Linked DNA regions of Saccharomyces cerevisiae S288C. The gene in region 1 interacts genetically with each later gene. Each region holds a gene or a part of one and is shown on either strand. Other genes may lie near its edges. The genes, in order: SET2, GIM5 and SWC5.

Region 1 (3,759 bases):
AAACGCTTTTTCTTTCATTCTCAAGCTTTAGCTTTTGCTTCAGGCTTTCCAATTCTTCTTGTTTGGCTCTTTCTAGCGCAATTCTTTCGTATTCCAGTCTTTTTTGTTTCTTCCTCTCATATTCTTCGTCACTCAGCTTATGTTTCTTAGAGTCTAAAGCGCCAGGCGTTTTTGGTATTCCACTGCTACTCGGAGAATTTACTTGTGTATTTGACCTTGAACTAAAGACCTTAGATGATCCCGAAGGTGGATAGTGTAGTTTCGTTTTCTGTTCTGCATTATAATACAATGGGCGACCGTTTTCGTGAATGATCTCCCAGCCTGGAGGTAATCTCACCCTTCTCAAATCTATCATTTTGCTGGCTGCGACGTTTATGTCTTTCTTCGTTATCCTTTTATATGTTTCAAATTTCGACCATTTCTCCAATAACTCATCGCAGTTTGGCTTTAAAAATGGAAACTTTGCAGGGAGAGTTTTTACTACATTATCAATTTGTGACGACTCAATACCGTTTCGAGTTGTCTTTGGTAATTCCAACAAAAAATCTAAAATTCCCTTTATAAACTTTATATCATCTTCTTCAGTCTCGTTTCCTTTTCCATCTACCTGAGGTTGTTCCGTGATAAACAATTTAAGCATTTTGCTAAAACAGGTGTAACCGTGTAGTTTGATAGCCTGATGACGAAGAGAGTCATCATCGATAGTAAAAAGTCTCTTCAAGAGTTTGGATGCAATTATCTTATTATCTTGCTGTAGTAATACACTCATGATCTTCGTCACATCCACTGGGCTGTCGATAGGTTGGACTTCCAATGATTGAAGAAATTCAATATTTATGTTCTCGTTTTCATTCTTTATTATTGGCTCACCGCTTAATTTCTTTAACTTTAGCCATTTTTTCTCCATGGAAACAGTCACTCCCAAGGCATCAGCGATGTTCTGGGGCAATAAAGATGCCGCATCTGTTTGAGTCTTACCACCGAGAAACCCAATACAATTTGGCTCCTCACAGTAGCATTTCTGAGCTTGAGCACCATAACGATCCACATTATAATCAAAAGTGATTTCCTCACCTTTTAAAATTTTTCTTTGAGCAAATATTCCCATGCGTAGCTTATCCTTAACAACCCATTTATTAACATATGCATTGGGGCTGCAAGAGTGATTGCAAAATCTGGCCAACGAACCCTTTATTGTGGCGTCAATGAATTCTCCGTTCTGTAACATCATAAAATAAAAATGCTTGAAATGACGTTGGTCATAGTCTATTAACCTATCTCTAAATTCCATCTCCTCGATCACCTCACCTTTGTACTCGTAAATGAACTGGTTGGCTTCTATGTCCTGTTCGGCTCTTACGCCATAACCTTTATGCTTTGTTTTAAATATGGCTATCGGAGCGTACTGCTTCTTTTGAAATCTCTGATTTTGACAATCATTACCACAAGATGAACACAAATCGTTGACACATTCTATCAACGTAAGTCTATTGATACAGTCAGAATCCTCGTCACAGGCATGGTTGACGCCATCTGAGAATTCTTCATAACAGTCACATTCCATGAAATCATTATTCTTAAATGTTCCGATCCTCTTGTTCGCATATATACAGTCATCCAAGTTTTCAAATTTGGTCAATGCTTCCTCTGTGAGATCAGGCTCTTGATCAAAAAGCCTTTGAGGTTTATGGCCCTCAGCGTTGTTATTCAGTATTTCTTTTTCATCTTCCGACGCACTCACACTTTGGTTCTTCGACATGATCACGTAAAACAACAACCAGGAAAGGAGAAAGGTTTGACAGCACGACTATGCAGTTTTCTATCACACGTTCGAAAGCCCCTTTGAAAAGCTGCCAACGTGACCTTACGTTCTGATAAATAACCACCAAATTACCAATAATTCTAATAGTTTCTTGGAATTTTTCACATGTTTGCAGTGAATAAAAAAAAAAAAACGTTAAAGGTGATATTGATCACGTGACAAATCTGTAAAAGTACGGATACTGTCCTTATTACTGCGATATACAGTGTGAGGTATTCTAAGCGGTATATTCACCGTCCTCTACACATATTTTAAATACTGATGAAGTGACAAGCAATATCATTGAGCATTCTTTTTTCAATAGTCGAAGTCAGCTTCTTCTCGTCGGTTCTAAACGAAACGCCTTGTTGAAAAAGACCGATAAATAGAGGAAGCAACGGCAGGAAATATATATAAACGCATGTCGAAACTAATACTTTATGATAGATTGTTCTTCTATCAGTTTTCATTTTAACTTTAAAAACTCAACCAACAGGTATTGGACTGACATAGGCACAATAAACTCAAAAATATTACGTAGAAATGGCTTCAGAAAAAGAAATTAGGAGAGAGAGATTCTTGAACGTTTTCCCTAAATTAGTAGAGGAATTGAACGCATCGCTTTTGGCTTACGGTATGCCTAAGGAAGCATGTGACTGGTATGCCCACTCATTGAACTACAACACTCCAGGCGGTAAGCTAAATAGAGGTTTGTCCGTTGTGGACACGTATGCTATTCTCTCCAACAAGACCGTTGAACAATTGGGGCAAGAAGAATACGAAAAGGTTGCCATTCTAGGTTGGTGCATTGAGTTGTTGCAGGCTTACTTCTTGGTCGCCGATGATATGATGGACAAGTCCATTACCAGAAGAGGCCAACCATGTTGGTACAAGGTTCCTGAAGTTGGGGAAATTGCCATCAATGACGCATTCATGTTAGAGGCTGCTATCTACAAGCTTTTGAAATCTCACTTCAGAAACGAAAAATACTACATAGATATCACCGAATTGTTCCATGAGGTCACCTTCCAAACCGAATTGGGCCAATTGATGGACTTAATCACTGCACCTGAAGACAAAGTCGACTTGAGTAAGTTCTCCCTAAAGAAGCACTCCTTCATAGTTACTTTCAAGACTGCTTACTATTCTTTCTACTTGCCTGTCGCATTGGCCATGTACGTTGCCGGTATCACGGATGAAAAGGATTTGAAACAAGCCAGAGATGTCTTGATTCCATTGGGTGAATACTTCCAAATTCAAGATGACTACTTAGACTGCTTCGGTACCCCAGAACAGATCGGTAAGATCGGTACAGATATCCAAGATAACAAATGTTCTTGGGTAATCAACAAGGCATTGGAACTTGCTTCCGCAGAACAAAGAAAGACTTTAGACGAAAATTACGGTAAGAAGGACTCAGTCGCAGAAGCCAAATGCAAAAAGATTTTCAATGACTTGAAAATTGAACAGCTATACCACGAATATGAAGAGTCTATTGCCAAGGATTTGAAGGCCAAAATTTCTCAGGTCGATGAGTCTCGTGGCTTCAAAGCTGATGTCTTAACTGCGTTCTTGAACAAAGTTTACAAGAGAAGCAAATAGAACTAACGCTAATCGATAAAACATTAGATTTCAAACTAGATAAGGACCATGTATAAGAACTATATACTTCCAATATAATATAGTATAAGCTTTAAGATAGTATCTCTCGATCTACCGTTCCACGTGACTAGTCCAAGGATTTTTTTTAAGCCAATGAAAATGAAGAAATGCGTGATCGGAAATTACGGGTAGTACGAGAAGGAAACTTGAGCCACCCCCCAAATTTTATTCATATAATAATAGGAAAAGCAACGACCTCATCTCTCGAACATTGTTTACTTGAGCAAGTCCGATTAAGAGTAAGTTGTCGTACGTTAAATACAAATAATCAACAAAACACTACACAAAAACTTCTA
Region 2 (3,124 bases), on another chromosome or scaffold:
TTTGTCTTATTCGGTCACTCCAGACAACGAATTGTACGTCGCTAGTGTAACGGGGTCTGCTGGGTCCTTTCAAGATTGTATAGGTGGAGTTATTTATGAATATGATACACGAACTAAGTTGTTAAATTCCAATCAGAGGTCACATCTTCCATACGAAGTGACATCAGAGATAGATCTGAATTTCACATCATTGTCAGAGGTGTCTAAAAATTTATATGCTGTGCTACGTGATTCTGTAAAAAAAAGGGTAGAGTCCATACATCCCAGGCATATTGAAAACTCTCCTATTGCGGTACTATTCTCAGGAGGAATTGATTGTTCAGTAATAGTAGCGTTGATCTGCGAGGTGTTGCAAGAAAATGATTATAAATGTGGAAAACCAGTTATAGAGCTTCTAAATGTATCCTTCGAAAACCCCAGGACTGGTCTTTTTCCCAGTGATACACCTGATAGAAAACTGTCCATTAACAGTGCAAAGACTTTACAAAACTTATATCCTAATGTTGATATCAAACTGGTTGAAGTTGACGTTCCTTATGATGAGTATTTAAAATGGAAGCCATTTGTTATCAATTTAATGTATCCTAAACAGACTGAAATGGACTTGTCTATAGCCATTGCTTTTTTTTTTGCGTCGAGAGGTAGAGGTTTCTTAACTTCTCTGAATGGGGAAAGAACGCCATATCAGCGCCATGGGATAGTGTTATTCAGCGGACTGGGAGCAGACGAACTCTACGGTGGATATCACAAGTTTGCCAACAAACCACCCCATGAACTTGTGGAGGAACTTACAAGGCAAATAAACAACATTTATGATCGCAACCTGAATCGTGATGATAAAGTGATAGCTCATAATGGCGTGGAGGTGAGATACCCATTTTTAGATGAATATGTTATAAAGTTATCTACAGCAGAAATTCCCATTAATTTCAAGGTTAACAAATTAATCCTTCGAAAAGTTGCCTCGCAGTATTTGAAGTTGGATGGAATATCATCAGAACCAAAAAGGGCCATTCAATTCGGTGCTAAAAGCGCTAAAATGACAAAGGATGGTAATAAGCATGGAACAGATTTATTAAAAGAAAATAGGAATTGTTCATAAATTCAAATATTCAATATATTTTGCAGCTTGTTCAAAATTAAATGCTAAAAGTAGAGTAAATCCGTTGAACATACATAGTTTTGTAATGTCATTAAGGGTATCTTCAGAGTTGTTATCGTCTACTATGAATATCAGTATATTATTTTCGTTTCTAGATAAGGGCTGCATTCTCCTAGAGATATAATCGACATATAATTTGTGATAAGTCAAAGTTAAGAACAGTACACTTCTTCCACGAACTAGATAGTCGTAGTATATCATATTAATTCCTGTTGAAGATACATATCTCCAATTGGTGCTCTTTAAGTGGTTCAGGAGTGGATTTTCTTTTTGGGTAGTGTTCACTAGTACAGTTTTTCCCGGTCGAGTACTCCTGAAGGGTCTCTTTCGATTATAGTCATCTGTAGCCTTTGAGTCGGTCCATTCTTCCGGTTTTTGCTGATTGAAGGCGTTTATGACCTGGTTTGAATTTATGCGTCTTGATGTTTGCGGTTCCTGCTGCTGGAGTTTTGATGCATCTATTTCTAACGATTGAGATCCAGTAGTATCTGCACCACTCTTTTCCTTTCTCAATTTGGCCACACCAGCCAATATACTTTCAAATGAAGTAGGATCAGTATTGTTCATCTTCTAGGATAACCAACTTTGTTTATGCCCTTTTTTGTGTTGCGTGGCTGTCTCATAAGTTACAATTTTCTTTTTTGTTCTAACGATTTTAAATAGAAAAGTGTCTTAGATGAAAATCTTGCTGTGACCCAAACAAGAAAGAGCACTGTAAAAATCAAGCCATGTCCTCTCAAAAAAGTATGTAAATGAATAGCTCCTTCGTTGTTGCCACCGTACAGACACTTTACTAACTTTTAAGTTACTACATGTTCGAAACTTAGTCGATTTAACTAAACTAAATCCCGAGCAGCTGAATGCTGTAAAACAGCAATTCGACCAAGAATTGCAGCATTTCACACAGTCCTTGCAAGCATTAACCATGGCTAAGGGCAAGTTCACAGAATGTATTGATGATATTAAAACAGTCTCCCAAGCAGGAAATGAAGGGCAAAAACTACTGGTTCCAGCATCTGCATCATTATACATCCCAGGTAAGATTGTAGACAATAAGAAATTCATGGTCGACATTGGTACAGGATATTACGTTGAAAAGAGCGCTGAAGCAGCAATCGCATTTTACCAAAAGAAAGTAGACAAGCTTAACAAAGAATCTGTACAGATCCAAGATATTATTAAGGAAAAGACCCAGTATTCCTTGTCCATCGAGGCCCAAATAAGACAAGCCGCTATTAGACAGCATGAAGCGATGAGTAAACAACAACAGCAGCAACAAAAAAAGGAGTCGTCTACAGCCTAGGTAACTCTTTTGCTTTTCCTACGATTTTTCATATCTCATTTGTAGCCATCTGATATACGTTTATCTATATGCAACGTAATTTTTTATTTATCGTCACTTTGTAGTTTTCCGGAAAAGGCCATTGAAAATTTTTCAAATTCCTATGGCGATGAGCTGAAAAAATTCATTAAGTGTGCATTCAATAACATCTTGTTATATACTAATAAAAGAGGCTTCAAGACAAAATAAGCTAACTTAAATATGGCAAAAAAGAAATCTAAGAGCAGATCCAAGAGTTCTAGAAGAGTTTTGGATGCTTTGCAACTTGCTGAGAGAGAAATTAATGGTGAATTCGATAACTCCAGCGACAATGACAAAAGACATGATGCTCGTCGTAATGGTACAGTTGTCAACTTGTTAAAAAGGTCAAAAGGTGACACTAACAGTGATGAAGATGATATCGATTCTGAGTCGTTTGAAGATGAGGAGTTGAACTCTGATGAAGCGTTGGGCTCTGATGATGACTATGACATTTTGAATTCCAAATTCTCACAAACTATTCGTGACAAGAAGGAGAATGCAAACTACCAAGAAGAAGAGGATGAAGGTGGGTATACTTCCATTGATGAAGAAGATTTGATGCCACTGTCTCAAGTGTGGGACATGGATGAGAAAACCGC
Region 3 (3,435 bases), on another chromosome or scaffold:
TATTTGTCCAATACTTCTTGCTGTAAAGGTGAAAGATTGTGTTCCATACTGTGACTACAACGCCGTGTATGTTTCACAGCGACTTTGACTGGCTACTGTAAGCTCTTCTTTTGTATTCTTTGGAATAGTTTATTTACATGTAATTACTGTAATAGCGCGCAGCCGAGCTAAAAAAAAAAAAAATACAAAGCTTTTGATCAATTTGTTACAAAGAGAAATAATTCCGCGTACGTATTTCTATTGATATTTATATATCTACATTCATTCAATTTATTACCTTTTCTTTTATTTTTTTTGCCTTTTGTAGTTTCTGTATTTTTATTTTCTATGTGTTTTTATTGACTAGCAGTATATTTAGAGGGGCGACCTTCTTTTACGTTCAGCATTTGATCTATCAATTTCAATTTTATTGCTAATCAACATAATAGCAGCTTGGGACGCCATGAACGTACCTCTTATGGTAAGTCTTCTCTCCGAAGAGCCTTCTACAGGATCTTGTATAATAATTGAACAACCTGTGGATTCCTTGACCGAATTTATGTGCTTGCCATCTTTGCCAATGACATTTCCGACAAATTTCTCATCTATGAATATCTCTTGTTGTACAAAGTTCATTAATAAATGGTTGCCGGGTGCCGGACTGATAACAGGGCCGTCTAAGACTGTCACATTAGGGATAACGAAGTTCGGTTGAAAGGCCGTTGCGTTTGCAACGCTAGCAGTAGTATACTGCGGTGTGGCCATACTCAACAAAGTAGATGATATTGGTAAATTTTTGTTGGGTTTGTATGAAAGTAGTTTATCGCTTGGATGATATTGGTGGTTTCTTTGATGGAAAATGGTGTTCGGTTGGCTATGGTCTATTAATACTGAGTTAAACTGAGTTGGCTGATAGTATATGGACCTTTTCACATTTTTCTGCGGAGATTCCATCTGAAAGTTTAGCAATGTTTGACTAATGTAGAAAGTAGCAATATGGATAGCATCCGGAACCCCGTTAATGGTTAAAATTCTATCGTTAGAAAGCAGCAATTGATTCGGGGACGCGAATAATTTTGCTGCACTCAAATCCTCAATTTCTCTTAACCGAGACCCACGTTTGCCAATTATACATCCCATAAGATGATGAGGGATCAATAGGTTGATAGAAATCTCAATGTCTTCCCCGTTATCTTCGTTACCATGTTCTTCAAGCAGCGCTCTTACTATCATGCCGTATGCCTTGGCTACATCATCGCAAGTACCCCTCACGTAAACAATTCTTTCAGGAACACCTCTGATATTATTTGATATGTTTATTCTAGCAGAGGTTTCGGATTTTATTCTAGATATAGTGGCGCCCTTGTGTCCTACTATCAGTGAAGCGTGTTTGACTAAGCACAGCATTCGTAAATGTACATCAGAGGGAACATTGTCGGGGGAATCGTGGTCGTTGTCAGAGTGGCTGTCTGCATCCTTCAGGGCCACGCGTTTGATTTCTGCTTCCAGTTGTTCCTCGCTGGTGTCTTCACCCTTTTTCCTTTTGAGCGTGTTGGGAGAAACGAGTACAGTAGTTGGTGTAGTAGTGATTGATGGTTTTGTAGTCTCTGTGGACATAATTGAGCTAAAGAGTATTACAGAAAGATTATTTAATGCCGCGCTGGACGATTAAAATTGTTAGAGTGGATGTGGCTATGGATAAGTTTGAATATGAAAAAGGTTACTTATGCGGCTAACGACTAGGTGCGTATTTATCGTTTGACGAGTATGTACGTGTTTTCTTTTGTATCATGATATTTCGTGTAAGTACCATATCGGGGAAAGACAAAAAAAAGTGAATTAAAGAGCGAAGTTTAAAGATGATGAATAGGATTAATCGACAAGTAAGAAAAAAGACGAAAAGGCGTAAACTGGAATAATATTGTTTCAAGAAAGAAAACCCACTAGCCTATAAATGCCAGAAGTAGAGACAAAGATTATACCAAACGAAAAGGAGGACGAGGACGAGGACGGCTACATAGAAGAGGAGGACGAGGACTTCCAGCCTGAAAAAGATAAATTAGGTGGTGGTAGCGACGATAGTGATGCCAGCGATGGCGGTGACGACTATGATGACGGTGTGAACAGAGATAAGGGTAGAAATAAAGTGGACTATTCGCGTATAGAGAGCGAGAGCGGCGGACTGATCAAGACTAGAAGAGCTCGGCAAGCTGAGGAAGAATATGCGAAAACACATAAGTATGAATCGTTAACTGTTGAATCGATCCCTGCAAAAGTAAACAGCATCTGGGAGGAGCTACAGGAAGCTAGTAAGAACCGTCTTTTGAGCAGTTCAGGGAAAGTCGGCTCTGTTCTCGACGGTTCCAAGGAGGCTAGGTCGACAACGGCCGCGCAACAGGAGGACAAAATCCTCATCGAAAGAAACTACAAGTTTGCTGGTGAAACTGTCCATGAGAAAAAATGGGTTTCACGCAGCAGTGCGGAGGGTCAAGAATATCTAAACAGTTTGAAATTTAAGCAGCAGGCGCCTGCTGCTCCTGTTCAACTGGAAAAAGCAGTTAGGACCAAGTCCAATGAAAGCCGGCAACACTTGCGACGGCCACTGAAAAGGCCTCCATTGTTGGAGCAGATCATTTCTGGCGGGCTACGACCCAAGCTAACGACATTAGAAAAATCTCAGCTGGACTGGGCTAGTTATGTAGACCGTGCTGGACTTAACGACGAATTGGTGCTGCACAACAAGGATGGGTTCTTGGCCCGGCAAGAATTTCTGCAGCGGGTCGGGTCTGCAGAGGACGAGAGATACAAAGAATTGCGCCGGCAACAACTTGCTCAGCAGTTGCAGCAGGATAGCGAAGCTTCATAGACAAATATTACATGTATTAAATAACATGCTTTTCTGCTCAAATTTTTTTAACCGCCGAGGCCTGCACACTTTCACTACGTGTATAACGATGCTGCAGACAAAGTAATGGGGTGTATGGGTGTGGGTGGCAAAAAAAACCTAGCAACGCTCTATGTTTCTTTTCTTTTTTCTTTCTTTTTTTTTTTTTGCCGTTTCCGATGGGCCACTCGGTGAAAACATATAAAAAGGGCTCTACATTCATTTTTTCATCGATGAGTACTTTACTTGTTATCAGATTTATTCATTTTGTTTCTACTTGTTTTTTTTTTAAATCCCCACGAATCTCTTTGCCTTTTGGCTTAGATCAAGTGTAGTATCTGTTCTTTTCAGTGTAACAACTGAAATGACCTCAATGAGGCTCATTACCTTTTAATTTGTTACAATACACATTTTTTGGCACCCAAAATAATAAAATGGACGGGAAGAGACTTTTTAAGCAAGTTGTTTTCCGCTAATGTCAGGTCTCACTACTTTTTGCTGCTATTTTTCTTCGCTCATGGTTTCTTCATAAGGCGTTTTTATGATGGTTTTTCGAAATTGGTTTTTGAGAC

Evidence for each region.
Region 2: mutations in SET2 (region 1) and GIM5 together harm fitness more than expected from each alone (negative genetic interaction), as found in Saccharomyces cerevisiae (6 studies listed by BioGRID, with this or other methods).
Region 3: mutations in SET2 (region 1) and SWC5 together harm fitness more than expected from each alone (negative genetic interaction), as found in Saccharomyces cerevisiae (6 studies listed by BioGRID, with this or other methods).

What each region holds. Positions count from the first base shown.
Region 1 is NC_001142.9:102,670-106,428, forward strand, and holds the start of SET2 (histone methyltransferase SET2), read right to left. Parts: upstream 1,760-3,759; coding exon 1-1,759. Other genes in the region: ERG20 (bifunctional (2E,6E)-farnesyl diphosphate synthase/dimethylallyltranstransferase), read left to right, coding at 2,345-3,403. UniProt on the Saccharomyces cerevisiae protein: Histone methyltransferase that trimethylates histone H3 'Lys-36' forming H3K36me3. Involved in transcription elongation as well as in transcription repression.
Region 2 is NC_001145.3:80,385-83,508, forward strand, and holds GIM5 (Gim5p), read left to right. Parts: upstream 1-1,890; coding exon 1,891-1,906; intron 1,907-1,989; coding exon 1,990-2,465; downstream 2,466-3,124. Other genes in the region: YML096W (putative asparagine synthase), read left to right, coding at 1-1,102; DNA repair protein RAD10, read right to left, coding at 1,097-1,729; UTP14 (Utp14p), read left to right, coding at 2,706-3,124.
Region 3 is NC_001134.8:681,589-685,023, reverse strand, and holds SWC5 (Swc5p), read left to right. Parts: upstream 1-1,933; coding exon 1,934-2,845; downstream 2,846-3,435. Other genes in the region: DAD3 (Dad3p), read right to left, coding at 1-47; telomere maintenance protein PBP2, read right to left, coding at 355-1,596. UniProt on the Saccharomyces cerevisiae protein: Component of the SWR1 complex which mediates the ATP-dependent exchange of histone H2A for the H2A variant HZT1 leading to transcriptional regulation of selected genes by chromatin remodeling. Involved in chromosome stability.